Drosophila melanogaster: one gene and its partners. The protein of the gene in region 2 purifies or fractionates together with the protein of the main gene of each other region. This does not show direct contact. Each region holds a gene or a part of one and is shown on either strand. Other genes may lie near its edges. The genes, in order: Mocs2B, Atac1, Ada2a and Atac2.

What was found.
Region 1: the proteins of Atac1 (region 2) and Mocs2B purify together in Drosophila melanogaster (affinity purification with mass spectrometry; 4 studies listed by BioGRID, with this or other methods). This does not show direct contact.
Region 3: the proteins of Atac1 (region 2) and Ada2a purify together in Drosophila melanogaster (affinity purification with mass spectrometry; 4 studies listed by BioGRID, with this or other methods). This does not show direct contact.
Region 4: the proteins of Atac1 (region 2) and Atac2 purify together in Drosophila melanogaster (affinity purification with mass spectrometry; 4 studies listed by BioGRID). This does not show direct contact.

The regions. Positions count from the first base shown.
Region 1 is NT_033777.3:25,123,575-25,130,883, reverse strand, and holds Mocs2B (molybdenum cofactor synthesis 2B), read left to right. Parts: upstream 1-3,524; 5' UTR 3,525-3,537; coding exon of another isoform or gene 3,538-3,810; 5' UTR 3,811-3,820; coding exon 3,821-3,949; intron 3,950-4,010; coding exon 4,011-4,317; intron 4,318-4,441; coding exon 4,442-4,717; intron 4,718-4,781; coding exon 4,782-5,050; intron 5,051-5,109; coding exon 5,110-5,232; 3' UTR 5,233-5,252; downstream 5,253-7,309. Other genes in the region: Clbn (caliban), read right to left, coding at 1-37, 96-1,211, 1,274-2,151, 2,223-2,952, 3,018-3,073; Mocs2A (molybdenum cofactor synthesis 2A), read left to right, coding at 3,538-3,810; vig2, read right to left, coding at 5,528-6,294, 6,769-7,252. UniProt on the Drosophila melanogaster protein: Catalytic subunit of the molybdopterin synthase complex, a complex that catalyzes the conversion of precursor Z into molybdopterin.
Region 2 is NT_033779.5:6,956,436-6,963,505, forward strand, and holds Atac1 (Ada2a-containing complex component 1), read right to left. Parts: upstream 3,894-7,070; 5' UTR 3,819-3,893; coding exon 2,748-3,818; 3' UTR 2,664-2,747; downstream 1-2,663. Other genes in the region: CG13775 (uncharacterized protein), read right to left, coding at 183-437; CG3430 (uncharacterized protein), read left to right, coding at 663-1,852, 1,911-2,154, 2,221-2,604; Hmgcl (3-Hydroxymethyl-3-methylglutaryl-CoA lyase), read left to right, coding at 4,008-4,052, 4,112-5,038; sip2 (septin interacting protein 2), read right to left, coding at 5,156-5,395, 5,460-7,070.
Region 3 is NT_033777.3:18,250,125-18,258,347, forward strand, and holds Ada2a (transcriptional adaptor 2a), read right to left. Parts: upstream 5,364-8,223; 5' UTR 5,257-5,363; coding exon 5,193-5,256; intron 5,113-5,192; coding exon 4,251-5,112; intron 4,193-4,250; coding exon 3,430-4,192; 3' UTR 3,332-3,429; coding exon of another isoform or gene 3,151-3,331; intron 3,089-3,150; coding exon of another isoform or gene 2,914-3,088; 3' UTR 2,719-2,913; downstream 1-2,718. Other genes in the region: CG18598 (uncharacterized protein), read left to right, coding at 1,020-1,154, 1,220-1,354; CG12320 (uncharacterized protein), read right to left, coding at 1,436-2,575; Polr2D (RNA polymerase II subunit D), read right to left, coding at 2,914-3,088, 3,151-3,331, 5,193-5,256; moi (modigliani), read left to right, coding at 5,492-5,688, 5,748-6,087; Tgs1 (trimethylguanosine synthase 1), read left to right, coding at 6,084-7,484. UniProt on the Drosophila melanogaster protein: Component of the histone acetyltransferase (HAT) complex ATAC; predominantly involved in acetylation of histone H4, including at Lys-6 (H4K5ac) and Lys-13 (H4K12ac).
Region 4 is NT_033779.5:18,607,090-18,615,377, forward strand, and holds Atac2 (Ada2a-containing complex component 2), read right to left. Parts: upstream 5,161-8,288; 5' UTR 5,090-5,160; coding exon 4,680-5,089; intron 4,620-4,679; coding exon 4,468-4,619; intron 4,413-4,467; coding exon 4,238-4,412; intron 4,172-4,237; coding exon 2,940-4,171; intron 2,874-2,939; coding exon 2,518-2,873; 3' UTR 2,487-2,517; downstream 1-2,486. Other genes in the region: CG10333 (uncharacterized protein), read left to right, coding at 1-1, 65-2,366; IFT46 (intraflagellar transport 46), read right to left, coding at 7,355-8,288.

The DNA of each region.
Region 1 (7,309 bases), on a different chromosome or scaffold from region 2:
TCTTTTTCCCGTACCTGGGGTGAGCTTTACTTTAAACCTAAAAAGGATATCACATTTACAATAAACATTTTATGCGAACTTTCAGTATAGCCTACTTGTAGTTTTGCAAAGCCTGATAGGGAGCAACGACTGGAATCGCGAACAGCAGCTCATCTCCTTCGTGCGGCTGTCCAGTCAGACTGTTGAGTACATCCACATCCCCACCGACGGGCACTTCATCAGCATCGTCCAGTTCCACTGGGTTTTTGGGAGCTGCACTTTTTTCTGGCTTCACGTACTCCTTGGTTGACTCACTTTTCTCCACCACTTTATCGGCACTGGCCTGTGGCTTTTCCTTACCCGATGACTTGAGAATCATCATGCGAATTTCCCGCTCTTCATCATCTTGATCCTTGTATTTTTGCTTCATTTTCTTGAGCTTTCCCTTCTGACCTCTCTTAACTTGAGATGGATTTTTTGGTTCACTACTCACAGGAGGGACTTCCTGCTTGGCAGCTTCTTGTTTCGCCCGTGCCTTGTCTTCCTTGGTCTTTTTGGCACTTACTTGCTTTTTACGACTTGGACCAGCCAAAATAATGGTCGTTTCTTCATCGTCCGTCTTTTTCAAAATTTTGTCTAGGACAACTTCACTCTCTTTAGTCTCTTCAATCTCTGGATTTACGGAGTCGGATCTGACTATAATGCGACCAGTATCGTGCTCAATCTTAACTTCTGTATTGGGAAAAGCTGTAATTTCGGTATTGGAGCTTGGTTCCGATAGATTTATATTTGAATCAGCGTCTTCATTATCCGACAAAAGATCATGTTCAACTTCGTTTTCTTTAACATTTGGATCTATTTGATCATCCTCCAGGCTTCTAACTTTACGCTCTCCCAAATGGCGCTCAATGAAGCTATCCTCCAACTTGAAAAGTAAACTTAGACCCATGGTCAGGTGGCAGGAGGGAAGGAAGTTCTTCTTTCCTCTGATCATAAAGCTTCCCGTTGCCAAGTACTCTCCAGTCGGTGCAGTTTTGCTGACCTGATCGCTTGTTACCCAGTACGAGTTGGTAACCACTTTGGCATCCCAAGCAACACTGTACGAAATAGCCATGGATCCTGCCTCTAGCAACGTTTTGGGAGGTATTTCTTCTCCTGTGGGATTTTGAATAATAACACTCGAGGCGCCTTGAATCTCAGCGTGCACATAAATGTCTTTCGGACGCATATATCTGGAATAACAACATGTCATAATTATAAATACTTCGATCTATTTAAGTAATTGAAAGCAAACCTTTTAACAATAAGCTCGTTCTGCTGGGCATCTCTTCCTCCAATAACCAAATAATTTTCAGAGCTGATAAACCAGTAAAACTTTTCAAACCAGAAAACTTTCCGTGCCTTTACTATGTTCGATATAGTCCTCACTTCCTTGAGCGTCTGCTGCGTCTTGCGCTCCGCAGACTTAAGAGCTTTTTGGGAAGCATCTACAGTTTTCTTTTCTTTTTGAGCAGCCGAACGTTTCATATCGTAGTATCGACGGGCATTGGCCCAAGCAGACAGAGCCAAGTCGACATCCACAACAGTAACCTCTGGATCCTTAAGATCGTCGTCTTCATCGTTGTCATATGGATCGCTGAGCATAAGGGATATATGATTAGTCTCCAGTTTAAGCTGCTTTATGGAACTAGCTACAGCATCGCCATTTGCCTGTGCCTCCTTTACAAGCTCGTGAATATCCGGCCAGGATAATTGACTGGCAATAGCTGACTGAACAGCCCGAATTGCATTATCCACCAGACTTTGATTGGACGTTATTAGCTCTGCTTTCTTTCTGTCCACATCTTGGACTTTTGTCAATTCCTCTAGACGCTTTGCGTGGTCATTCTTGACATTAGACAGCTTTTTTAGTGCCTCACGCTCTTGCTGTAGCGTTTTCATGTCAATCTTTTGCGACTCTTGCGTAGAGTAAAATTCATCAACGGCTTCCATAAAGGACTCAAATGTGGCCTTTTCAAAGTTTTTGAATTGAATAAAGAGGTAGGGATGAAATTCGATGTTTCTAAAGAAAAACTCCACCGTTCCATTCTCTGTAGGCTTTTCCTCTTTAACTTGAATAATGTAGCCTTTACTTTTTCCACTATTTCCCTCAGCTATAAGCTCTTGAGCATCCTAAAAGATTGCACAGAACGTTTTATTTACTTTAACAGCAATAATAAATATTTCCACGATATTGTTCTTACCTTTACTGCTTGCTGAAGAATTGGCAAGTCATTAACCATGTCAAATGGTTTCTGTTCCAGTTTCGTATTCTGTTGCTTCTTACGTTGCTTTTTACCGCCCTTCTCCGGCTTGTCCTCCGCCTCCGGCGTTTCTTCCGTTGTTTCCTTTTTGATAACGTGATTGTCCAAGCCGTGTGAGAGGAGAACATGCTCTATAACTGCCGGACCACAGTCCAAGTTGGGTGTTAGAATCTGTCGCAAATAGTCGCCGTTCCTGGCATTTTCCAACAGCTTAACCAAAGCTTCCAGTTCCAGTTCCTTCGTGGGCTGTTTGGCCCGTTCCACGGGATATTTCTCGCGCATGGCGAAGCGCAGGTTCTCGCCCTCCGTATGCGGACGCAAAATATATAACGTGGTCAGCTCGTAGTCGGTGAGGATCACATTACCACGATCGTAGAGCTCCAAAATAACATGGTAGGCGGCATCACCGGTACCGAACTGAAAGTCAACAATACGATCGCTACCCATCTGTTGAACCTTTTCCAGGCGCTTGTTCTTCAAGTGCTTCCTCAACTTCATGCTGAAACCGGACGGAGCCATGTTCTTGGGCCATTCGAACCTAGTGGTATGGAATCTTGTACCAGATTCTATTAGCAGAGTGACCTTCTCCACTGCACCGGTCCCTTGCATCCGGAAGAGGTAGGTCTTGTTATCCACGTCATAGATCTGATTCACTCGCCAGCCGACCAGCCTGGAATATAAATGTAGATGTACCATTATTCCTGGGCATCGGAATTATCCGGATTTTTTACATACTTTTGCAGTTCCGCCACTCCGCAGATTATATCGAAGGTATTGAAACGTGTCTTCATGGTTCTTTATGGAAAGTTGACGATGTCAACACGGAAAGTGAAGAAAAAAGAATCTATCTGGCAACTTAACTTATCATTAAATATTCACAAGTTCGCTATCTACGTTAGATAAGTTAAATTAGTTTAATAGGGAATAATAACAATTTTATTCACTTGCGAAATTAAGTATCGGTGTAAATTGCGATGGACGAACTTTAAACAAAATATATCGATTGTATGCTGTTGATGATTCGGATTGTCAGAATGAATTCGCTGTATAATTACTATGTATTAAATATTTGTATTGTTTATGCAATGAGTAAGAAGCTTCTTTGATTTATCTAAAAAGTTATTAAGCATTTAATAAAGTTTCAGTCAGCTGTTTCCCTTTCCGTGGACTATTCCACTTCGTTCCGATAAGAAATCGATACATAGGTAGTCGGAAAATGGAACTGCTGTGTCATCGCCAATCTTCATTTGTAAATATGAATGCGGATGGACCTGTTGTCAACGTGCACGTGTTGTTCTTTGCTAAATCCCGTGAATTAGCAAACACTCCCCGGTCGACAGTGGAAGTTCCTACTGAAATTACTGCCACCGAACTGCTGGACCACCTGGTGTCCAAATTTGGCCTGACCTCCATCCGGGATAACTTGATTTTGGCCCACAACGAGTCGTACATTGACAACCTGAGTGATAGAATTCTGTTTAAGGAAGGAGACGAACTCGCCATCATACCGCCACTGAGTGGAGGCTAACCTTTCCGCCATGGATCACGTGAAATTGGTAAACGACCCCATAGATATCGCTCATATCCATCAGTTGCTGGCCGATGAAGGCTGTGGAGCCTCATCCGTTTTCGTGGGCACTACGCGCGATAATTTTCAAGGGAAAAAGGTGGCTTCATTATCTCAATCAATTGATTTCATTGATTCATTTGTACTTTTCGACCTTTCAGGTGCTGTCATTGGCGTACGAGGCCTACGATAGCATGGCACTCAAGGAAATGAATAAAATATGCTCAGATCTCCGATCTAAGTGGCTCGATCTGAAGCACATAGTCATATATCATCGATTGGGAACAGTGCCCGTATGCGAAGCCAGTGTAGTTATAGCCGCCTCGTCACCACATCGTTCTGAGGCCTTAGAATCAGTATCTTTTGCAATAGACCAGCTAAAAACTCGGGTTCCCATCTGGAAAAAGGAAATCTACGACGGCGATAACGACAGCGAATGGAAGGAGAACAAGGAGTCCATCAGGCCTAGTAAGATCTTATGAGTAGCCAGCATGACATGTATTCTTATTATTTGTACACTTGTAAATATAATTAACAATCGAGCGTTTACGATTTTATTGGCTTCTCTCTCATCTGTGCATGTACATTGTAGAGAAATCGAAAAGTGGCTTCAACTACGCCGCTTGTCCCTGCAAAGTTGAGGAGTCACATGACGTCCCGCGAACTCTGGTGCAAATTAGAGTTAATGACGCTGAGTTAACCAAGCGTTTAGAATGTTTTGTCAACAGAAAACGAGACGAAATAAACTCACAAAATGTAATTGACTTCAAATCGTCTTTTGTCAGCTCAGACCAAAACTTGAGCGATTCCTGCGCTCGAACGCAGAGCACAATTATTAAGCAGGAGCAGTCAAATTGCCATTTAAAAGGTGGGTAAACGATGCTCTATTTTCATAACTATAGCCACTTTGGTCTACAAACAACCTATCACAGTCCGACGAGTAAACAACCGATGCGGACCTCAGCAAATGGAAATGCGACCCAACTACGAACTCGAACTGAATAAACTAATGGGATCGCGTGACGGTCAAACGGATCCAACCAAAGAAATGAGGAAATCGCTACCCAATTCACGACTACAGGCAATTGAATCGTACATGGGTCTAACCACCGACAACGAGGAAAACATTTTCAGTAGAATCAAACGAGTGGAAAATAGACTGCTGCAACTGGAGTCCATTTCGCCCGAGTACAGACACTTCGTAGGTTCTTAAAACATTTCCTGTAATTGCAGTTCTAAAAAAATTCAATCTATTCTCAGACCAAACGTGAACCGTCATCTATGGAAGCCGCGCCGCCGAAGAAGAGCCGAAAGAAATCGTATTCGGCGCAAGAATTAAGTGCATTCATTCAAAAGATTAAGGATGGCAGCGAATTAAGCTAATAAAAACCTAATTAATTATTATTCCTTGGTTTGTAATTGATGTAAATTTATTTCAACATTCCAACTATTTGTAATAGTTTTTTTTATGCGTAAATGATGAGAGTGAAAAATGCAAAAATTTTTGTTTACAACTAAGGAATATGGATAAGCGTGGCTGATTTGTTTCTGTTTATTAATCGGTCGTCAAGCTTCATAGATCGCGCCCGAAAATCTAATGGTTATTTGTTAACCGAAGGACCAGCTTACTAATTATTTAATACGCGAAATTATTAAATCTTATTGTTGTTCTCAACTCCTAGCACAGAGTGGGGAATTGAGCTTCATCGTCAACCTTCAGTGGCTTCTGGGCGGAGCGGCGTTTCTCTCCGAATCTGTTGTTGTCTTGTCTGTTTTCATAGCCGTTGCTGGGTCCGTTGTTAAAGCGGGGACCACGGAATCCCTCTCCACGCGGTCCGTCATTGCGGTAGCCTTCTCCACGCGGTCCCTCATTGCGTGGACCCTCTCCGCGAGGTCCGTCGTTGCGATAACCACCTTCTCCGCGAGGTCCGTCATTGCGATAGCCACCTTCTCCGCGAGGTCCGTCATTGCGGAAGCCACCCTCGCGAGGACCGGCTCCGGGGCGAGGTCCCTTGCGGAATCCGACCTTGCGTCCATCATTGAAGTTGAACTGGATGTCCACGATGCGCTGAAGGCGGCCCACGCGCTGAGGATACAGCGATGGATCATACTCCAACTCGTCTTCGCTGTTGCTCTCCTTCTTCTTGCTCAGCACGATCATCTTCTTCCACTCGGCATTGTCGGCGGCTCCCTCGCCCGCTTTGCGCAAATTGTAGTTGGGCTTGGCACGCTGGTCTCTCAAAGCCTTCCACTCGTCAAGGGTCATCTGCTTGGACTCATCCTCTTCGGCGGCGACCGCGGGATCAGCCGACTGTTCGTTGGCCGAGTCCTCCTTTTCCGCCTGCGGTGAGGTCTCCCCGGTCGTCTTTAAGTCCTCAATGTCCTGCTTCGGGGAGCCCCAGTTGTGGGCACCACCGCCTTCGCGCTTGTCAATTGACTTGACGCCTGTGGAGAATAAATCAGCTATTAATAGGCTTCAATCGATATGAGTAAAGAGGATTTTCGGGAAAATGTTTGCCGTATAAGACAAATTAAAAGTTTAACCAAACGAATTTTATATTTTCGGTAACGAATTAATAAATTAATAAATTATAAGATCAAAAATCAAAAAAATCAAACAAAAAAATGTCCAAGAAAACACATGTGTGAACACACGAGTTTGCAACGCAGTAATTTCATTATTTCATCATTTAAAATTAATATTTACAAACACGTTTTCAAACGTTTTGCGTATTACAAATGCCTAAAAGTCACGTGAGAAATACGCGATATGTAATCAATCTTGTTGCCAAGGGTTGCGTTTTCTCTATATTTTGCAGCATGCCGCCATTACAGGGCAGCATTTTCCACGCAGAAAAAACGGATTCACTTGAGAAGCAAACACGAAAACCAAGGACAGAAGAATCTAGACATAATTACCAGTTCTATCGGATCCCGACTGGCGATCGAACTCGCGCTTTCCGAACTTCTCGCCGGTACGGACGCGTGGTGGTCCCCTGTTGTCACGATTGTTGAATTGACGCTGCGGCAACTCGTTTCCGAATTCTCCGTTCGACTCCTTATTTCCGTAGCGTTGGTTGTTGTTGAACCTGCCCTGGTTGTTGGCACCGTTTGCTGTTGGGTTCTTGGGACGACCCACATCCCCGCCAGCGGGACCCTTGCCGCCTTTCACTGGACTAGCGTTTTTAGCCACCGGAGCGTTGGCCTTGCGGGCAGCCACAACCGGCTTGTTCTCCTTCTCCGACTTGCTCTTTGGTGCCTTTGGCGCCTTTGCCGGTTCCGGCTTCTTGGGCGCCGCGACTACAGCGGCAATCTGTGGCTGTGCGAGCCCAGAGGAGTCATCGTCGTCCATGAACAACAGCTCGTAGCGGTTATTTCCAGAATTGTCCATGATGTAAAATTTCTACGGATTAAAATTGAACCAGATTTGAGAGTTACTTTGGTCCCAATGGCGACGATA
Region 2 (7,070 bases):
ATTACTTTATGAACTACCAAAGAAACTATATTTGAATGGAAACTTAAGTTTGGGGAAACCATCTCCACATGACAGAATATCTAGAAGGGCATGTACCCCGATTTCACATAAGGTACACTTCTTGCACAGTACATATGCATGTACATAGGTATGTATGCACATCTATATGCTATCCCACTTACGTGCAGATTCAATTCTAGCTGGGCTGTGGGGTGCTGTGGCGAACCGATGGAGATCTCGCTCTTAACCAGGTCCAGGTACTTTATGTCCCCGGATAGAGATAGGAACTCCGGTGGGTGCTTGCTCTTCAGATGATTCCGCAGACATGTTGTGCCGCGTCCTCGCCTCGAGTAGTTCCTGTTGCACAGCAGACAGGTGGCCACTGTGCCGGATGTCTTGTAGAAGTACTGCCACACATTGCTTTTCTTCTTGCTCATCGCTGCAATTCTTTGGTAATTCTCAAATTGTACATTTTTTGCGGATGTCCACATCCGCCTCTACATCCGTTCTGCGGCAGAGTTCGACATCCCTGGCAGATATCGATAGGCCCATCGATGACCATCACTAATATGCTGCAATCAGTTTTTGGCGCGCCAAAGCAGCTGTTGTTTTTTGCATTCGAGGTTTTTGAGGCATTTGCAAATTCATTCGTTAACTAGATAATGCCCTGTGCGATGGAGCTGCCCAGCACGCCCGATGAACTGGCCGCCCAGCAAGCGGACAGCGCTGCACTCAAGGACTTGCTCAAGGATCCCAGTCGTTGGCACTCGATTCCCCTGCTCAACTACACGCCTCTTCACAAGCTGAAGGATCAGACTCTGGTGCGCTTTCGTGGAATGATCCAGGACATGATGGACCCAGAAATCTATCTGGAGCGCTACGAAGTGAAATCCGCCGACGGCAGCAAACGTGTACAGGAAGGAAAGTACAGGGACTGCTTGAAAATAGCCAATGGCGAAGTGATTGACTACAACGCCGATGGAAACGTGCATGGAGAGAGGCGTACCATGTTCGTGGTCTCTGTGCCTGGTCTGAACGATTGGAGCAAGGAGCATGAGAAGCTGTGCTGTCCCCAGATCGATTTGGCCAGTCTGGGTCAATCTCCCAGTTCAGCCAAGAAGCGGACTATTGTAGGCGAAGAAGAAGCCATGGATGTGGACGTTGCGAGCGAAACAACGTTCAAGCGACCCTGCCTAAAAGAGATTCAAAAAGATAGCGAGCCAGTCGGCGCCTCCAAATCCTCTGTTCTTGGGTCTGATTACCTGATTAACTCGCCTCTGCCGGATCGTCCCAGCATGGCATGCATGGTAAAGGTTTACGAGGAGTTCGATACCTACCAGCTTAACTCGCTGGTCGACTTTGTGGGCTTTCTGTCAGTGGATGCTTCACTAGACGCCGCTACCCTGGAAATAGACGATTGTGAAAACTTGAGTGAACTGCAGGCAGCTCATCCATCGCCATTTCTTATACCCCGCCTGCATGCCTTCGGAGTCCAGGTGCTGCCGCATGCCAATCCGCTGCTGGACAAAAGCCTTCGACAGCCAACGGAAATATGTGAGGAGACGTATCCAACCCACCTTGCTGTGCACAAAGATCTGCGCATGCTTCTTAAACTCTGCCTCTTTGATGACGATCTGGCTGCCGAGTATTTGCTCTCCCACCTAATATCTACGGTCTACAGTCGTTCTGAGATGCAGAGCATCGGCAAGTTCGCCCTTAACCTTTGTAATCTCCCTAAGAATTGTGAGGCGTATGCAACCAAGTTGTATCAAATTCTGGAGCTGCTACTGCCGGCCAGCCATTACATGCCCATGACTCTCGTCACACTAAACACGGCAGCCTTTGCCCCAAAGTAAGTTGGCTAAGCAGAAATAGTATAAAATTGAATACCTATTAATGAGTACTTGCAGGAAGGATTATGAGACAAACAAGCTGGTTTCCGGCGTACTACAGTTGGCTCCCCATACGCATTTGGTGCTCGACGAGACGTGCATGCAACAGGGCAAGCTGGAGGCCAATGGTGTTCATGCCGTTCAGCATTTAGCGCACTTGATCAATAATCAGGAACTGAAGTGCGACTTTCAGTATTACCAAATAGACTACCAAGCAAATATTCCAGTTCTCGTGCTCAGTGAAGGGCGAAGTATGTTGCCGGTAAGAATATAAGTTTATATAAATAATCATTATATCCAATAGAAACTATTAATGATATGTTTTCAGAGCGATTTTGTGCTGCCCATTAATGCCGATTCTAAGGCCGTGGAACTTGTTGATGAATCTCTAAAGGCAGCCCACCACTATCTGCAGCCATCACGTCTGCAGCAGTTTCGCAAGTACTTGACCACAGCGCGCACTAGCGGCTTCAACGTGAGCGAGGAGCACACTGAAATGATCCAGCAGGATTTCGTGGACATGCGTAAAGCTAATGTCAAAAGTAATGCCGATGATCTGCATGGATTGCTGGTCCTCTCACGGCTGCTGGGCATCGCCCGGGGGAAGGATACGTTGGACAAAGAAACATGGCAGCTGGCTACGGAGTTCGAAGCAAAGCGTCGCCAGCGTATTCAATCTCTGCCGAAATCATCTGCCCAATTGCGCAATTAAGAGGGCCTCTCTTTTATACCATTTAATATTAAGTTTTTATAAATAAAATAGAATTTTTTAAAATTATTCTCTTTATATTTAATTTGTAGCTTTACAGGCAAGTCTAGTAATTTAGTACTCAAGTAAATGGGACTCTAGGAGCGTCATGACTCTTGGTCCACTACAACTTCATGACTTAAATGCTCGAAACGCCCTTCGATTAGCTGACTGGCCAGGCAATCTCCGCACAGATTAAGGTAACAATAACAACTGTTACAACGCCATTGGGTCCTGGTCACAGATGCCTCTTCGCACTCGGCACACTTGGCGGCCAGCAAGTCTGGCTCATATCCGTCCTCCATTTCCCGTTTCTCGTCCTGAATGGCTGATAGAAGCTTAAGGCATAGTTCCTGTTTTCGCTTTGACTCCGCATTCAGATCGGCATCCATGTACTCGGATTCGATCTTTGGTTCGATCTTGGATGCCGGCATAAGGAGCATATCGCTCGCAGGCGATGGGATTCGCAGGTCGTCAAATGTGAAATCGTCCTCTGGCATTTGTAGCGATATATTATGAGCGGGGAAGAAGGTTGACTTGCGAAGTTTGATCTTCGGCTTACTCAAACCAGGACGTCGATGCTTGGGTATGCGACCGGGCACAGGCATTCCGGCATCGTGCAGCTTTTGGAAATACTTCTGGACACGACTATACACTTGCTGTGCCGTTCTGTTGCCCAAGGCCTTCGCTATCTTCCCGAATCTGCGCATTTCCACTTCCTCTGGCGGATACTGGATGAGCAGCTGCTCCAAGCGACTCTGCTCTTCGTTGGTCCACAAGCGATTGAAATTCTCCGACCGTCCATTGCTCCTGTCCCGATTCTTGTTCGCCTCTTGCGTCCATGAAGACGCATCGGTCGGTGTCTCATTTGTGCCCCCTTCCTCGTCATTGGGCGACAGAGTTGGCAAGTCCGGTAGAACGGTCGTGGTGATGTAATTATCCGCTATCAAAGGCTCGTTGTTTCGCAGTTTGTCCAGCATATGTTGCGGATTCTCCAAGTAGATATTTTGTGTGGCTTCCAATTCCTCAATCTGCTGATGCACCCGAATCCTTTGTGCCTGCAGCACGGCCAAAGTGCGCAGCAAATTGGTATAGCACTGGTTGCCACGCAGGGCCAGGTGCTCGGTCTCAAAGTGAAACACATCCTCATCTTCTGCAGATATCTCTGCTATTTCCATTACAAAGAATTAGCACCAAATACCCGTTTGTATACAAAAAATGTGTTTACGCCTCTGCGCTAGAGATGGCAGCTCATTAAGCAAAACAGTTATCGAAATTTAGCAACATATCGATCTTGGATCATTATCAGCTGTTATCAGCGAAAAAAGAAGAAGCGGAATACGTAACGTTTATTTACAAATTTAGCAATGATAAGTGCACCAATTCGCTCTATCCTTGCACTTACAGCAAAGGTAATTTCACGGAAAATCGAACGCACTTGACAATATTTTAATAATTTTAAAACTAACAGCGCACGGCGGTTACAAGCGCGGCCAATCAGGTGCGAATTGTGGAGGTTGGACCGCGGGATGGTCTTCAAAACGAGCCCAAACTCCTGCCGGCAGCCACCAAGATCGAGCTGATCAACCAATTGTCCGAAACAGGACTGCGAACCATAGAAGCCACCAGCTTTGTGAGCGCCAAATGGGTGCCACAGATGGGCGACAATGCCGAAGTGCTGAAAGGAATCCGCAAAGTGACTGGTATAAGCTATCCAGTCCTCACGCCTAATCTGAAGGGATTCGAGAGTGCTCTGGAGGCGGGAGCCGAGGAGGTGGCAGTCTTTGGAGCCGCATCTGATGCGTTTTCGCTGAAGAACGTTAATTGCACGGCAGCTGAGGCCATCGAACGATTTAAACCTGTGCTGAAAGCAGCCCAAAAGCATGGTGTGCGCGTCCGGGGCTACGTTTCCACCGTGGTTGGCTGCCCGTACGAGGGTGCTGTTGCGCCGAGTGCTGTCGTCAAAGTGGTGGAAGCCCTGTACCAAATGGGCTGCTATGAGATCTCATTGGGCGACACCATTGGTGTGGGCACTCCAGGCACAATGCGCCGAATGCTGGATGAGGTGACCAAGGTCGTCCCGGCTAAAGATCTGGCCGTGCACTGCCACGACACTTATGGTCAGGCTCTGAGCAACATACTGGTCTCACTGGACTATGGCATTCGGGTGGTGGACTCTTCCGTTTCTGGCTTGGGCGGATGTCCTTACGCCAAGGGGGCGTCAGGCAACGCAGCCACCGAGGATGTGGTCTACTTACTGCACGGCATGGGCCTCGATACTGGCGTCAACCTAGACAAACTGATCCAAGTGGGGCGGTACATCTGCACCGAACTGGGCAGAACCTCAGAGTCCAAGGTTAATCGAGCGTGGAAGGGACCGCAGGCGCGAGTTAAGTGATGATGCAAGCATTGATACTATCAAACGAAAACGAAGGCATTTACTAGCACTAGTTACACAATACATTTATTATCGTTGCAATATTTAGTCAAGGAGCGTGAAGTACTTTTATGGGCCTTAAAACTTTTGGGCATCTCTTATTGTGTATAAGGACACGTCGCCTGAGGCGAGCGACAGATCAGCCAGGCTGTGATTGGCGCGTCGTGGGATATGCGAAGACGACGGATTGCGGACTGCCTCGCCGGGCATTTTCATTTTGCCATCGTGGCGCATAACAGTAGGCTCCACGGCGGAGTTGAGGTATTTTTGAATTTGAGGTACCTTCGGCATGGGCAAAGGAGTTCGTTCATCAACCACCTGTTCAATGGAAGGTATTAGTTTACGTTCACTCATCATGGCTTATATATAAATTTAAACTTACATGCTTGATTTCGGAAGATATGTAAGCCTTTTTGGGAAGCAGATCAGCGGCTGAATCGATTCCATTGATAATTAAAGATTCCGCTTCACTGGACTTGGGTGTTTCGTCCTTTGTTGCGAAAAGTGCTTTAGGATGACACAAGCGAGACTCCTGCTCCAACTCACTGATGGCCAGTGTAGATAGCATATCAGAACTCGTTGGACGGAATGTACTCATTAGCGGAGCAGTACCAGACTTCTGGGTGTAGGTGCGTATGGGACTGACTATGTTGGCGTATGGCTGCTTTATCTGATTTTGGCGACGCTGAGGAATACCAGAGGCTGCACTGAAAAATTTCTTTTTGGTCCACTCCATGGTGAGGCCGACATTGAGCGGCTTTCTACCCGTGCTAGATGAACCTACAACTGTTTGTGGCTGATTAGATGACCGCAGCGGAATTGATGGCTGCAAAAAGGCTACAGCCGGTGATTTTGGTTCCGGCTTCGGTGAAACAACGAACGTGCTTTGTTTGGTCTTGGGCAGCACAGGGCAATCTGCCTTGACTGCGGCGACTGAAGGAGCCCCACCTGCCATGTACTCCATACCCTTTTGCATCATGTACTCCATTTCTTCCATGGTATCATTGAAATGCAACGAATTTTCCTTATTTTCAACGCTCTTCTCCGCTGGTTTCTGCTCAGTGTGATCTTTTCCGTGGACTGAGGACACACGGGACGTGTCTTCTTGTTTTACTTCTGGAACTAGCTGCACTTCTTCATCGTCAGAAGAGGATAGCTCGATTATTGTATCCTCTATATCGTCCTCTTCCTCCTCGACCTCATCCTTCGGAAGTGAGGCCAGCTCTCTAAGACTGCCATGAAGATCGCTTAAGAGCTCCAGCTCCTCTCCCTTGGACATTCCTGGTGGCTTGGCCTTGGCAATTGCGGCGTAAAACAATTCGTCGACGTTTAGGAGCGTTCCACTGAGGGAAGTATCCGTGGCTGTTTCGTAAGAACTAGATGCATTTGTCTTTAGGGTGCGAGCGCTTTGGAAGCTTGTGTGTGAAGACACATCAGACGACTCCAGTTCGCTGTCTTCGATGATGGTTGAGGGGCGAAGCAGCCCCACCATTTTGACAGGCGAAACCTTGGTCAATGCTTTAGGAGTCAGCCCAGAGTCGGATGAGGTCTCGTCCATTCCGGCCAGGGTGTTGTCCCAAAAGCGCGACGGCGCCTCAATGTCCTCCAGGTGAGTGCACTCCGCCCCCTTGACGGGACTTTCGTTCTCCAATAGATCGTCTTCTGTACCCACTGCCTCTAGCATGCGACGCAGTGCATCGATCTCTTTCTGATCGTCGGTGCTATGATCCCTAGCCCTGGCCATCACCTGACTCCGGTCCTCGCTGTGCAGGTACTGGAAAAGAGTGCTATCCGGATCGGAACCGGTTTTGTCGCACATGCGCTCAAAGGCACTGAAGCTATCATCGCCATCGTCCAAGTGCTCCAAGTCACCTGCCTCGTACATAGTATCCTCGCCGAGATTAACAGTCCTTTGACTGGCAGAATTAACGGCCAGAACTTTCTTGGCCCGCGCCTCCAAGGGTCTCCTCAAATCCTCGTCGATCTCCAAACT
Region 3 (8,223 bases), on a different chromosome or scaffold from region 2:
GGAAAGAAGGCAGACTAATATTTTGCAGTCGCTGAATAGAAAAGGCCCGTGCAGAAAGTTAATTAAGCATAAATCAGCCGAGGCAGCAAAAACAACAGCCACATTCTTGAACGTAACAACAACAGCAATACAAGAAACCAGCAGCTAAAACTGACATTCGTATTCATTTCAAATAAAAATCATAAAAACAAAACAACAATTGGGCAACACAATTTATTATTAATTGAGTTTGGGGCTCGTGTTTTTATGGGCTTGTTTAAATGGTCACAGTCAATCATAGAAAGATTGAAAATATAGAAAGGAACCGAATGTTTTCCTTATCGGCACGCAGTTTCTCTATTAGTTTATTAGTTTTTTTTTTGGAAGTCGACCATAAATAACAATAAAACTAGTTTGTTTTACATTTTGACGGATTTATTTTAAGTGATCCTTTCAATCATGCATCTTTCTTGATTTCACGCGTTCAGTATGATAGAGAAATTTTACATAGTTTTTAAATGAAGTTTTCAATAAAGATTTTCAAACACATTTTCTTCTATCATTATCATTTGCTAATCAAGCATAGCTTCGAATCGAGATCAATCCCACATTCAGTTTTTAATTATTAACCAAGACTTAGCCACAGAAAATGAAGATTCGTACCTGTCAATGCATCCAAAAGATGCGAGCTTAGAAGGCGCACTGCTGCTGCTCAGAAGAAATATATGTCAAACTAAATTCTGTGGTCATCGGAAAATACAAGCAGGCAGGCACATAAAGCGACAGCGCTTCTGCGTCAAATCAGAAGTGTCCACTTAAGCTGAATGTATAGCTGGGCCAGAAGCAACACGAAAAGTGGGTCTAGTGGCCATTGTTTTCAGTTTGCTGATGTGCACAATGGAAAAGCCGTGTGCATACAGATACAAATACTAAGATATCTATATTTAAAAATCTGGACAACAGCTGGAAGAGGCGAAGGTAAGGAAACAGCAAAGGGCCCGAATGCGGTTTAGTTGCGAAACGTTGCTCGAGTCTCGGAGATGGCACTGCAGCTGCAAATTGAGAAGCTCAAAGGTTTGGACAACTACAAGGCCTGGTCGATGACGGTGCGGGCGTATCTGGAGTCGGAGGAACTCTGGACGGTGGTGGAGAATGGTCCCGAGAACAACGAGGAGGTGAGTGATGGTGTGGCGCCGTTTATGGCTACAGAAAACCCATGTCCATGCCATACTCCTTGCAGTCCCTGCTAAAGGACAAGCGGGCCAAGTTCTTGATTCTCTGCCTGATCGAGACCAAGTTGTGCCAATTCATGGTCAGCATCCGCACGGCTCGGGATCTGTGGAATTACTTGCGCACCCAGCATTCGCTGCGTTAAAGTAGAAATCAATATAGATCAGTTTCAGTCCATTGTATTACAAATATATGAATTACACTTCACATGCGTAGCGCCCTTCTCCTAGGCTTCCGGAAGTTCGATGACTACAGGCTGGTCCTCGGGATCCTCGTCTAGCAGGCCCTCGAATTCCCATCCCAATTTTTTCTCCAGCCGCTTAGTTAGCCGCTCAGCGCTGACACTTAAGCCGCCCGCATGCAGATTGACCAGCAGTTCGCGTACATCTTTGTAGACGGTGTTATGCGGACCAGGCACCATCAGCTCCTCGGGCAGATGGGGCAGCTGGTGGGCCAAAACCTCGCTGTATTTCATGTACGTTAACTTGTGCTTGGTGACCGCCGTTTGCGAGTGAGCCAGCAAGCCCAAAAGCTTGCGCCAGTGGGCCAGAGACTCCACAGAGTAGCCCACTAGGAAAAATGCGTAAGCCAGCTGCAGTTCCTCAATGAGTCCATCGGCCGTTTCAAAGCCTTCGAGCAGTTTGTCAACAGCATCGATGCAGTCCAAGGCATGGCGGGAAACATCAGCGGGCAGGGCATCTTGTGGAACACGCAGGGGTACGGTAGTGAAGCGCGGAGCTGTTCCTTCCACGGGCTTAAGGTCCGGTAGGAGTTCGCTCTCATCTAAGAGAATCCGAGCTGCAGCATTCCGGCGGCTTATGCTGACAGTAGCGGCTCCACCTCGCGGCCGATCTGCGTCCGGGCAGGATTGCAGTTCGATGTTCGTACGGATGGTTCCTTCTGTCGGACGGCAGCGATCCACGCAAGACTCCGTCACGCTGCCGGTGAGTTCCTTCCACTGGACCACGTAACGATAGTCGTACGGCGCCAGCACGCGCTCCAGTTGGGCTAGGTTTTTGCGTATTCGGTCTCGCTCCACTTCCGGTTCGGCAATCCTCCGCGGGCGCAATTCCTCCAGTTCGTGGTCCCACTCTCGTACGACAATCTCATTCGGATGGAAGAAGTGCACGAATCCAACACGAGGGGCTGCATCGCCGTAGGGACCACGGGAGGAGCACCATACGTAGTGGACTCCGGGTGGAATCATCTTGACGCCTCGGAAATCCGGACCAATGGTGTAGGCACAAAGATCAATGCCGAATTCCGTGCCCTCGGGTACACCGGCGATGACCAGCACTCCGCCATCAGCCAGGAGGCGTAGGGCTAGCTGCGGATCCATTTTCATGCTGGAGTTGTCCTTGTTCATTGTGAAATATTGTTCGCTTGCAATTATTAGGAAAAAGAAAACAATTGCAAGTGCGGGCCTTTCAGCAAGTTGCCAGATGTGACGGCTATTTCGATAAGTTCTTTCATGTGAGCAGTCTGGCAACACTAGACAAACAATTCTTTCAAGCGGCAAATTCAATTTATATATACTTTTTTTTAAGTAAATCTTTTGTTTGATATAATTACATTGTATTTAGACTTTGTTGATTTTTGTTACAGTGTATATTCTGCATTTACTTAAAATTCTTGCTGTTCTTCACTTTATTGTGTAAGTGGACCATGACTTTATATCTAAACTATATTTATACGTAGTAGTAATTAGTATTGTAAGCTGCGTTTAGTGCCGATATCGTCGAGTATTTGGCGCAGCTCCTCATCCTCGAAGCGACCCTCTAGTGAAGGAATCAGCGCCTTGGCCTCCTCGGGCGCCTCCGGACACAAATTACCCAGTGCCGCCAGTTCGAATTTGTGCAGCTTTTTCTGCATCAGCAAGCTGAATTTGAAATAATTGAATATTACTACTCGTACGTGCTTTGTTCGGTTTTGCTACATTACCTTCGCGCAGACATTATGGTCTCCTTGTTTTTGAACTTTCGAAAACTATCCGTGTAGGCGTACGTCTTCATGAAGACCTCGGAGAACTCTTGCTCCTCGTCGGCGGATTCGTTTTGTCGCTTTCGGTGATCGAGAAGCATGTGCACCTCCGATATCAGCAGCGTCTCGGCATTTTCGAACTCTGAAACAAAGAGAAACGAAAGGGTTTTTTTTTCTTGAATTAGTTACTTGACGACATTCAGGAAATTTACAAGTGAAACATTGGAGAAAAAATTAGCCCTAGCCATAGGACGGTGGTCTGCTGATATGGCCATGTTCCAGCAGAAAATCGTAGATCTGACGCGTTTTGTTCACGTCAATTTTGATGAGACGTCGCGCATCGGCCAGTCGTAGATATCCGAGCTTTGCTTGCTCCGTAACGAGTTGATTCTTGTAGTCCAAATACGACTGCGGAACCAGACGAGCCACACTGCACAACTTTCGCTCGCCATCATCCAGTTTGGAGTAACCAGGCAGATCTGGGATCAAAGAAAAATTATATTCAGTTGGTGTCAGGCAATGAGTAAAGTGTTTCCCACCTCCAATCTCAATGGGACTGGCCTTTCGACGCGTGTTCATCACATATAACTTTGAGTTAATGGCCAGGGGACCAGGATCACCGCTCCTGTTGCTCTCGTAATGCTGCACCAATTGCTGCCAGTCGAAAGCATCTGTTTGCTTCAGCCTGCTGTAATCTCGCTGAGCCTGCTGACGTTCTTTGCTCAAGCGGGCATATAATTTGGCTCCGGAAAGAGTTCGAACGCCGTGCTCCCGCAGATCGTATAGCTTGTGCAGCTGGCTATGCAGCTCCCGATAATAACGCAGAGACTCCAACAGCATATCGAACTTAATGGGGTCAGGACAGATCTGCATGAAGCCCAAGAAACGCATGCAACTCGCATCGCTGCCAAAGGCGTGCACGTACTTGGAAATCCAGCTGACGGTGCGATTGGGCATTATGAGACCGTGTTGCCTCATTATCTTGTAACGACGCTGGCGCTCTCTGTGAGTAAATATGCATATTAGATTTTTTTTAGTAGCTTTCTGTTATAAGATCATACCTGAGGCGATTGTTGTATGCCCGAACTAGTCCGAGTTGCAATTCCTCTGTCACTTCGCGCTCAAACTCACTCTCAGACGCCTCGTTGTCGTCATCCCTGCCCCTATGATCCACCATAATAGATAGCAGACTCTCTGCTGAGGTGTCGTACGGAGTATCGAAGTCTCCTCTTGCACAGCGGTAACCTGCGCTTAGTCTGAACTGCATGGAGGCGATGTCGTCATGACGTGGTGGATCCAAGCTGCGCATTTTGAAGACATACGGCATTCGCTCGGGCACATAGCTGTCCCTCGCATGCTTCAGATTAAGGAGCCGCTCGAATATCCCGCCAAAGTAGCAATCGTGGTAGTGACGACGCACTTCTGCGGGTTCGTGGCGCTGGTCCAGAGCCTGGGAGACCGCCTCCCAGTTGCCATAGCCGTGGGTGCGAAGTGTTTTCAGCAGTATGCGCTCGTCCCGTGCCGTCCAGTGTGGCTCATCGGCGAAAACCTGTATGTTGTCGCGGACTATGATGTAAGCGTGGTTATTGCGGTGAGAAAAGGCCTCCTTTCCACGTGAGAAACATTGCAGGCAGAGCAGGGTGTCGAGGCACTCGGAGCACTTAATGTACGGCTCTGTGAGACTGCAGCGACATGTGGCACACCGATTGGCATCCTTTGTAGCCGATGGAACACTGCTATTCTGGTCCCGCGTCTTTTCCTCCATCTCCTCCAAGTACCTGTGCAACGTGTGCGGATTATACAAAACCATGGAGTTCCTGGTGTGTTCATTCTGATGTGCATGGATGAACCGCTTAACCTGTGGCCCCAGTGGCTCAACTGCAAAGAGGCAATTCAGTGTGGTAAAAATGTGGAGGAGTGCCACTTTTGGGGCACTCGAAGCCAAAGGTTTCAGCCAGTTTCACTTGTAAGTTGCATTTCGGTTGGTGTAGGGCGTTGGTTACCTTTGGGAAACTGCAGGTCGGCGGCGTCCTCATCCACCATATCCACGGGGTTCATAAAAGACATAGTGAGCTAAGAACTGCTCAGTTTGTTAAAGTTTATATTAAGAAATTCTAATTTGCACAATAAAATGTCGCTGTTTTTAGTGATGAGAAAGGCAGGGCTATAACTGGCGAAGAAGCTATCGATAGGTGGGTCGCATCGTGCGTAGATACGTTGGTCACACTAGCAAGCATGTTGAGTTTATCATTCCGGGTGTTTTGATTTTGTTCGGAATTCTTGGTTTTTTTCCAAGAGAGTTATGTCCCTGGTGCCAGAAGCCTCTACCTCGAGAGCGCCCAAGTACTGCTACTTCTTCAAGACCCTGCTGGTGGAGGAACTGGAGCTGGAAACTTCCTACCACAACCTGCACTACGGTCAGTGCGCATTAATTGGACGTCTGGCGTTCAAGGCGAATCAGTACCGCCTAGAAAACGTGCGCGTTAAGTGTTTGCCAAAGTAAGTTTTTCTATATTACCTATCCATCCGGTCCTTACCAATGATGCTGCATCTTTCAGGAAGTACTCCTTGGGCGAGGGCACCGTATCCTTGCTTATTCTTGGCCTTACCCATGACAAAGTCGTCGAAAATCGCGTGAGTACCGGCCGCTACTGCATTGTGCGTGGTGAAGTGGTGCTACATAATGTGCAGCATCCCAAAGGTGCCAAACTGACCGCCGGCGGTGTCTACGACAAGATCAATAGTCTGTCCAACGATCCGTTGGCCCAAAAACAGTATCTCAGCGCGCTACTTGCCACCTACAGACCGGCCATCGACTTATGGTACATCCAGGTCATCGACAGAGCCGAGGACTTGCTGACTCGCAGGCTGGAGATGAGAAGTCTGATCGAGAAATGAACACACACCACCTGACCACCTCGCGAACCAATCCGCAGTTCTATATATTCAGTCAGCTCTTTGGTAACGATTTCGACTGGAATAATTGCAATTGGGGGGGCATTCAAAACGTTACCTGGAAAGAATTCTGGCAGCGTGAGGGGCATGAGCTGCTCGAGCAAAAGTGGCACAAGCGGTTTCCCGAATACAAAGATCTTATCGAGGTGGTTTCGTCGGAGGAGCAAGGCCTTTGGCAGGAACTGTGGGAGAAGCACGCCAGCGATTACAGTGAAAAGTTCTGGTATATATTTAGCTGTGCCTTTGAGAACTACCAACACGATTTGGCCAAATCATTTGGCCTTGACGTCGCTGAAAACTCAGAAGATGTTGAGGAGGACTTGCAGAACCTAAGCCTTACAAATAAGCCAATAAAATCGAAACAGCAAAGGGTCACAGAGAAAGAGGAGGACGAATCATACTTGACTGCCAACGACGATCCCGAGGATTGTGACGAGGAACAACAGCTGCGCCTTCTCGGATTGCCAACATCATTTGCGTCGAAGGCAGATATAATTAATTATAGAAAGGAAAGAAAGACACAGTACGAACTATCTAGCAGCGATAGCGAGGACGATCATGATCTGTTGACCATGGAGAACAACGAAAACGAGGCTCTGCACGGCGTTCAGAGCGGTTCTGTTAAAAAGAAAAAACGACGGCAAAGGCAAATAAAAAAACTCAAGGCCAGGATGCCAGAGTGCATGCAAGAGGATAACAACAAAATGGTCAAGTACTGGGTCAAGCGATTCTCGCTGTTCTCCCGCTTCGATCAGGGCATTCGGCTGGACCGCGAGAGCTGGTTCTCGGTGACACCCGAGAAGATTGCCAAACAAACGGCCCGACGACTGGCCTGCGACGTGATCGTAGATGCTTTCTGTGGATGCGGCGGCAATGCCATTCAGTTTGCAAACACCTGTGGACGCGTAATTGCTGTGGACATCGATGCCGAGAAGTTGGCCATGGCCAAGCATAATGCCGGCATTTATGGTGTGGCCCATAAGATCGAGTTTATCCACGCCGATTTTCTGCAGTTTGCGGCCAGCACAAAGCTGCGCCCAAATGTGGTTTTCCTGAGCCCTCCGTGGGGTGGTCCTGACTACCAAAAGCAGGCCACCTTTGATATCGAAACAGGTCTCCTGCCCGTGGGTGCTAGCCAACTGATGCAGCTGTCCCGTAGCCTGGCATCTGACGTAGCTTTCTTTCTGCCACGCAACGCCAATATGAAGCAGGTGGTCGCTCTAAGTGGAGTTGGGCAGCAGTGCGAGGTGGAGCACAACTATCTGGACACCCGAATGGTTGCGCTCACTGCTTATTATGGTAAAGGAATCATAAAGGGTTCAGTGGGAGAAGATGAGTAGGATTCGATTGAGAGTAATTTTAATAACATCATTGTTTTTATATAAATAAATATATTTAATTTCATACATATGTATAGTTGAATGGATTTAAAAAAAAAAACGGGCTCATAATTTCATGGCATTTTTTGCTTATTATTAGATATAAATCATATTCAAAACGAGCCAATAACATAATATGAAAATAAATCTATGAAAGGCATTTTAACTAATATGTAATACAAATGATTTGGTAAGTATCTTTAATTAAACTCGAAGCATATAAGCACACAGAGTTCACAAATTCCTGTAATTATGGATCAAAGGAAAATGTTGGCTATGGTCAACAACTTTTTTGTTCATTGTTTATCGCCTTAAGTTTTTCCCTCTTTTTGCCACATAGAAAGATAGGAGAAAAGTTGACTAATGAATAAAGCCGCCTCACATGTAACGCAAGAGTAAAATCTTTTCACCCATCCCTTCAGTGCAGTGATTGTTGCCAAGTGACCGGCGATGCCAAAGAGTCCAAGCTCTTTAGCCAATTTAGATGGCTTAACAAAGCTCAACTGGCCAATGGTCAATGGTCATAACCATAACGTTCCGCAATCCCTTCTTGCAACTGGCATTGGACTTTTAATTAAAACGCAAAAGGAAACAAAGCGTGCGTCAATTTTTAAGAACTTTGTGCCACAAGTTGTGACTTGGCCCAAAAGCCATGGAACACAGGCAGCCAGCCGCATCCTGCTGAACCTGGCAACGTCGG
Region 4 (8,288 bases), about 12 Mb from region 2:
GGTACGTTTTACTTTGAATTATGGTGAAATAAGTCTCATAAACTGATAAACTCATGTGTTCCAGAGAGGACCGCAACAGGCGAAGGTCACCCGAACGTCAAAGGCCTAGGGATAATGTCCGAGAAAGGTCAAGAGAAAGAGGTGGTGGCGCCGGTGGTGGAGGAGGAGGTGGTGCGGAAAAGAAGGCCAAAATGGATACTGGCGATGCCCCACCCAAACCTTTAATTGTTGACGACGAGGAGCAACAGGACGGCAAGGAAGCAAAGGTGAAGAAAGAGCCGCTTTCGCTGGAGGAACTGCTGGACAAAAAGAAACGCGAGGAGGAAGCCAGAAGCAAGCCAGTTTTCCTAACCAAGGAGCAAAGAGCCCTGGAGGCCATCAAGCGACGCCAGGAGGAAGTGGAGCGCCAGCGAGCTGCCCATGATGCTGCCCGTGAGCAAATGGCTGCCGCCAGCAAGGTCAGTATCTCTATGGGCACGGCCATGGCATCAGGAGCTCCGCCGCCTGCAATTGTGGCACCGCCACCCAAACCGGATCGTCGGGAACGAGGAGGTGGTCGGGATCGAGGCGACAGAATTGACAGAGGAGAACGTGGCGATGACAAGCGAGCTGAAGACCTCACCCACAAAGACAAGGAAAAGGAATTAGAAGCCATTCGAGAACGCTACCTGGGCATAATCAAGAAGAAGCGCCGGGTTCGCCGACTCAACGACCGCAAATTTGTTTTTGATTGGGATGCTGGAGAAGATACCTCCATTGACTACAACAATCTCTACAAGGAACGCCATCATGTGCAATTCTTTGGCAGAGGAAATGTGGCTGGCATCGATATCAAAGAACAAAAGCGTACCCAGAGCAAATTCTATGGAGATCTGCTGGAAAAAAGGCGAACCGAGGCGGAGAAGGAACAGGAGAAAGTGCGACTAAAGAAGATGAAGCGCAAGGAGGACAAGCAGAAGTGGGACGATCGACATTGGTCCGAGAAGGAAAATGATGAAATGACTGAACGCGATTGGCGTATCTTCAGGGAGGACTACAATGTTACAATTAAGGGTGGGAGAATTCCCAATCCCATCCGAAGTTGGAATGAGTCCGGATTTCCCAAGGAGATCATCGACATTATCGACAAAGTGGGCTACAAGGAACCAACGCCCATTCAGAGGCAAGCTATACCCATTGGTTTGCAGAACAGGGATATTATTGGCGTCGCTGAGACCGGTTCCGGTAAAACATTGGCATTCCTCATACCCCTGCTCTCTTGGATTCAGTCCTTGCCCAAGATCGAGCGTCTGGAGGATGTGGACCAAGGACCCTATGCCATTATAATGGCTCCCACGCGTGAATTGGCCCAGCAAATCGAGGAGGAAACAACCAAGTTTGGACAACCTTTGGGCATACGAACTGTGGTCGTTGTGGGTGGTTTGTCAAGAGAGGAGCAGGGCTTCCGCCTGCGATTGGGCTGCGAGATTGTCATTGCTACGCCAGGTCGTCTCATTGATGTGCTGGAAAATCGGTATTTGGTGCTGAACCAATGTACATACATTGTCCTCGATGAAGCCGATCGTATGATAGACATGGGCTTCGAGCCAGATGTTCAAAAGATCTTGGAGTACATGCCCGTCACCAACCTGAAGCCCGATACCGAGGAGGCTGAGGACGAAACAAAGCTGATGGAGAACTTCTACACTAAGAAGAAGTACCGCCAAACCGTGATGTTTACGGCAACGATGCCTCCGGCTGTGGAAAGATTAGCTCGCACATATCTCCGGCGACCGGCAACGGTTTACATCGGATCTGTTGGCAAGCCGACAGAGAGAACAGAGCAAATAGTGTACATGATGGGCGAGAACGACAAGCGCAAGAAGCTTATGGAGATTCTTTCGAGGAAAATCGATCCACCAGTTATTATCTTTGTTAATCAAAAGAAGGGCGCCGATGTTTTGGCTAAGGGTCTGGAGAAACTCGGCTACAACTCGTGCACATTGCACGGTGGCAAGGGTCAGGAGCAGAGAGAGTATGCTTTGGCTGCTTTGAAGTCAGGCGCAAAGGACATCCTGGTGGCCACCGACGTCGCTGGTCGTGGTATCGACATCAAGGACGTGTCCTTGGTTATTAACTATGACATGGCCAAGACCATCGAGGATTACACACATCGTATCGGTCGTACGGGTCGTGCCGGCAAAACCGGTTGTGCCATTTCGTTTGTCACCAAGGACGATAGCGCTTTGTTCTACGATCTAAAGCAATGTGTGTCTGCAAGTCCTGTCTCGACCTGTCCGCCGGAGCTAATGAATCACCCGGAAGCGCAGCACAAGCCTGGCACGGTGGTTACCAAAAAGCGCAGGGAGGAAAAAATATTCGCCTAAATTTGGCAAATTCTAAGCAGAACTACTTTAGGTTAAAATTTAAAACTAATAAAGTTGGGTGCGCCAAAGCCATACCTTGGCAACCAAAAATTCTCTTTCGAAATAGTCTTTTGAAACTTTAGATTCATAAACCATTTATTTGAAAAAAGTCTCATCTTTGTAATCTCAAAAAGAAGGCATTTCTGCTCTGTTTCGAGTCCAGAGGCAGATACTTGTCATAAAAGTCCAAGATGATTTCCTCCATCTTAAATCCGAATTTCTGGTACAACATGACGGCCGCGTTGGTGGCGGAAACGTGCAACGTTATGTCCTTGGACATACATGTCTGGATAAGGTGATATAACATGAAGCTGGCGATGCCACTGCGTTGCCAGCACGGCCGCACCGCCATGAATGAGATGTAGGCCTCGTTGTAACCTACGTCGGGCACTAGGAATCCGCAACCGATGACCAGTTTCTTGTACAACGCCACTACACTGTAGTCCGGGTAGCTCAAACACTCGCTTACTAAAAGGGAAAAAATCATACAAATTTGTACATTAAAAAAGCTAAAAAGAAAATCATGAAACCCACCATCAATGTTTGGCCAAAAAGTACTTTGGAGTAATGCGTTTACGGCCGGAATATGCTGCGGTCTCACAAAACAGAAGTCGATGGTAGATCTTGTGGGATGAGATCCGTTTACTCTATGCTGCAGCTCGCACATAAGCTTCAGCCATGGAGGAGCCATCGTTTCGCTCCGAAAGATAAATGGATGAAGAACTCTTTGAGAGTAGGGCGATTCAAAGAGCTCGTATTGAGTGCATCCCGCCAGGCGGGCGTGAAAGGAGCTCCTTGCATCTTGTCGTGAATGGGCTAACAACTGATATCTGTCAAGAATTTCGGCCTTCTGATGACCCAGCATCTTTAGGCGTGCTCTTCCCAGGGGATCTATGTGCTCGTCCAAGTTAAATATGTGTCGATTGTGGTCCCTTTTCCATTTTCGAAGAGAAAGTTTTCGATATAGGCGCCGCACATAGGCAGGTATGGATATGTGGCACTGATGCTCCAGTGCGAATATTCTATCGAGTCGCTGGTACAACTTCTGTTCTTCGTATGCATTTATTAGTTTGAGATTTTCGCTAGGAATGGCCATGTCATCGGGATCCTGCGCCTCCTGCAACCAGGGCCAATTTCGCCGTGGTTGTCTGACAAATCCACTCGGTTTGCAAGGCTCTAGGATAGAGGATTTGCTATTTGTCGTGACGTCATCATCTTGCATTATCTCTTCTAGTGGTTCCTCTTTGATGCTTTCGTTTGCCTCTTGCGCCTGGTAATTTGTAACCTGTACGATGCGTGGCTGATAGTCGGGTGATTCGTCCTCTTCTGGCTTTTCATCTTCTACCTCGCCTTCTTTTTGTTCCTCGCTGCTTTCGGCTGCAGGTTCTTCTGTTGATATGGGTTTGGTCTCATCAGCGGTATTTGGTATGGCAAAATTTGTATCCATGTCGAAAAGACCTTCATTATTCAAAGGTGCGTGAAGCAACGGCTCGGTCATGAAGAAATCATTTTTACCCGCTCCAATCAGGGGTGGGGGCATTATGCCTGGTAGGTTACCAAACATGGTAAAATCATCGCTTTCCAAACTTTCAGCCAGAAAATCCATCAGGCCTGCTTGGACCATGCTCATAGGCTGATTCTGTGGTTCTTCCTCCTTCTGACTTGGTGGCGCTATATTTTCTTGAAGAATTGGTGGCCCTGGAAGCGTTTCCTGTGACAAGGGTGAAGGTTGTGTTTGTATCTTTGGCAAACGGCCCATGTAGGGACTGGAATAAAAGTGAAAGATTTTAATGAAAGGAACGCATAGTTGTATTCAAAATTAATTATCTTACATTGTTCGCGCACAGCCCTCTGTTGAACTGGGTTTCTCAGCTTCTGCTTTAATAAGCGGTGGGTTATCCTGGGCATGATCCGCCACTGAGATCTCGCTGCTACAGCTGGTCTCGTCCGCTGCAGGCAACCGCTTTTCAATACGCATTTGTAGCCGCAACTGTTGCTTTTTCTCATCTGAAATGTGACGACTTGTGAAATCTATCATATCATTAACTTAAGTGGCACTTACATTCTTTGAGAACGCTTCTTGGGGTTTGAAAGGGCTTGGCCAGTTTCCACCAGCCGTTCTCCTGAAAGACATCCAGACCAGACTGAAAGTACTCCGGACTGTTGTGGGACAGTGCGCCGGATACGGAACCAGTCCATTGCTTGCGACGCCGCCTGAACAAGGGGAATAAATTGAATGTGTTCTCCGGAAATTATTCATTTACGAATACTTACACATTGGGACCGAATATATAGTTCCAGTTCTTGTCCACAAAACTGATGATGTGCGTGCGCCAATGGAAGAATCCATGGTGTCCCAAGCCCTTTTGTTTGATGGACAGATTGTAGAGCGTTAGGGTGAGCACCAGCAGCCAAGGTATCCTTTGGCGCACGATCACTTCCTTAATGGGTTCTAGATCTGAGGGTATGACCGATTCCTTAGCTTTATCCAGCACACACTTGACGCACGTGAACTCGAAGAAAACGTCGCCTAAAAGATCTCCGGGCGTGCAAGCATGCGGCAGGCATTTGATGTGAACCATCCGCCTGCATTCCTGGCACTCCAGGTAGTTGTCGTCCTCCACCGGCGATTCACAGTAGCGGCATGGTCCCTGGGGATCATCCCAGTTACTGGGCCGATTCATTTACTCAGTAAAACAGCACAAATTGCAAGTTAAAAACAATCAACAAAATAATGTGTTGTTTGTGTGTTACCGTTTCGCACTTTTTGGTTTATACCATATATATGAGAAGCTTACATTTTGAAAATACCAAAAAATCGCACTGTGCTCGGTTCAAATTTGTCAATAATTTGAATTGGGAAAACAAAAAATAAAATTAATTTGTATTCTTAATTGATCTTTTCTGAAGCACTACAAAACATATTATTATTAAGCACTTATTTATTTATTAACATTGCCGTTTTAAAATGCCGAAGATGTCAGCATTAACATAATTTAAAATAATTTTTTATTGTTAAAATGTCATAAATAAGCATTTTTAATTAATATGGAACAGAGACAAGGCTATGGTCTTCGCATATTATATACCCTCTTCTCAGGTGTATTCAACATTTTCTTGTCACATTTTTAGAAATTGCAAGCAAATATCAAAACACTTTTTAAAAGTTTTGAGCTCTTGGTGGGCGTTAGAGTGGGCGTGGCATTCTTCTGAAACAAACTGTGATGCGTCTACATGTCTAGAATCTGATTGCTCCATCTTAGCTTCCTAACTTTTAAGTTCCCGAGATCACAGCGCTTATACGGACGAACAGAAGGACACGTTTTAATCGACTCGTCCACTGATCCTGATTACATATATATGCTTAATACTGTCGGGAATGACTTTTTCTTTTGTTATTTCTTATGCCAGTTACCTACTTTTCAACGAATCTAGCATATCCTTATGCCCTTATATACACTATATAAAAGATCCCGATTGTTTTTTATGTTCTCCCTATCTAGAAGATAAGAATCCGCTTGATTAGTACAGTCCCGTTTCGCTTGATCAAGCATGCGTTTGTCACGCCCTACGCCCACCAAGCACATTAGTACCAACGCCCACCACCCACCACCCAACGCCCAGCGTCCTTTGGCCATGCAACGAAAATGACATTAATGGGCTCTTTACGGCTTACGCATAATTAAGGCTGTTTCCGGCAGACCATCGACCATCGGACCTGGCCCCATTGCTTTTGGCCCGGTCAGTGTGTTGTCTTAAGCGGGCCTAATTAGGCATCGCCGGCTGCTGCGTTCTGGCGAAGCTGTTGCTTCTGCTTCTGCTTCTGCTGTTGTTGTGTGTTTGATGAAGTGCATGATTGGTTTATGGACTGAAGTGGGATGGTCGAAACTGCAGGCCGGCTAAGTGGGGTATTCAGTTGAGAACCAAAGCTGAACGGATCCACAATTGTTTCTTTTGTAAATCACTTTCTATTTGCCGAATGATTATTACTGCAAAGCATGCAGTTTGTGCATCTTACAGGATATGCACCTATTTACGATTTCACTTCAACACTCATCGTTTTCAATTCAATTTGAATATTGCACTTCAAGTTCTTCCCTGCCTTTAATATCTGTAGTTGAATTCCTTTCAACTTGCTTGTCTGGCGCCTCGAGGAGATTTTCATTTAATTCGCGACTGCCCGCTGGCAAGTCGAAAAGAGCGAAAAATATGGTGAAACAAATTAATTTGTTGGTGCTACTACAGCCAAAAGTATATCCCCGAATTATGTTTTAAAGTATATCTATATCTTAGTTTTGCGAAAGTTAAAATGAGTTTCACTCATAAATCACTTAAAGCTCGAGGGTAAATATTTTCTGGAAAGAGCTTGACAAATTGGATAGTCGTTTACTAGCTGATTATGACATTTACAGATGCGATGCTGGTTAGAATTTGTTTGGCCACCCATTTTGTTCATAACAACCGTATTTGCTCTCAATCACCAGACTTATTGCACCTTAGCTCCACGGCCATGGCTTGACCGTTTTCCGAACGATTTAAGGCCAGGTCCTGGCACAAAGGGAAAAGTAAGGGAAGGATATGGGGGCATCCCCCCATCGTGAGGGGCAAACAAACGCCGTCTGGCTGTCACTTAATCGAAGCCATTAGCGTTATTAGTGGGGCTGCTACCAGCCGATGCACTGAGAAAATATATACGATGCTCGATGAATATTTGATTAAATAGCATTATAAGTTATATAATTTAACAATAATTGTTAAATTCTTTGCAGTCAGGTGTAATTGTGTCTGGATCTCTATTACACTTCTTTAGTAGATACAAAACAGAAATTAAAAATAAATTGTAAGCTATAAGAATAAATATTTTATTAACTTTAAAACATATATTTTAAGAACAAATTATGTTTTGATTTCCTTGATCATTTGTATGATTTATGTTTTATATGCATCTATTATTCCCACGCCTGACTGGCGGCCAAGTAGAGGGCAAAGAGTGTCTGGACATTATGGATGTAGTCCGCCTGCGACTCCAAAGGTCCTTCCACTCCGAATCTCTCGCAAAGAACTCCCACGTATTCCGCTACAGAAATGTTCTGCTGCAGACAGGATCTGTAGGCCTGATCAAGGGCATTAATGGTTTGTTCATCGCCAAAGGATCTCGGCCAATCCTCCAGGAGGGCATCTATGTCCTTTCTGGGCTGGACATCGTACATTGACTGAGTCATATGCACTTGTTCCACCTCAGTGATCCACTTCTCTATATCCTTGCCCGATCGGGCGGTGGGAACCAGTGATGCGGAGGAGGCGTGACGCGGATTTCGCCCCATGCTGCCACTCAGTACCGACCGAAGTTTCATATTCAGCAGACTGGGCTCACTTTGAGCGCCAGAGGGCTCATCGAGCAACCATAAGCCCAATTTCTCCAAGTGATCGTTCAGATCCTTCTGGCGTTGGGGCTGCAAAAGAGGCGGAGCCTGGACTTTCAGAAGGGCATCCACATCACCCACAGCGGGCACAAACTCGGGGATGAAAGGTTGCAGGTGAAACGGAGTATCGATCGTTTGCGGGGTGTATTTGACGATGTAGGGAAAGAGTTCCTTGAGTTCTCCGGGCACGGACAGATCCTCCCATTTGTCGGCACTCATAATAAAGGATTGATCATCCTGCCGCTTAGATCTTCCTGCTCCACTAGCACTTCCCCTCATGGGAAGCGTTAGCTTTTGATGTGGTAGCTTGGCTCCGCCTCTTGCTCCTCCGGATCCCATTCTGCCACCCATTGCGGCCTCCTCGCTGCCCGAGCTCAGGGTGTCATCCGGTACTTGCTTGGAACTTCGGTTGCTTCCCGGCCGCTTTTGCATGTTCGGCCCGGGCACCAGACCCGTCATT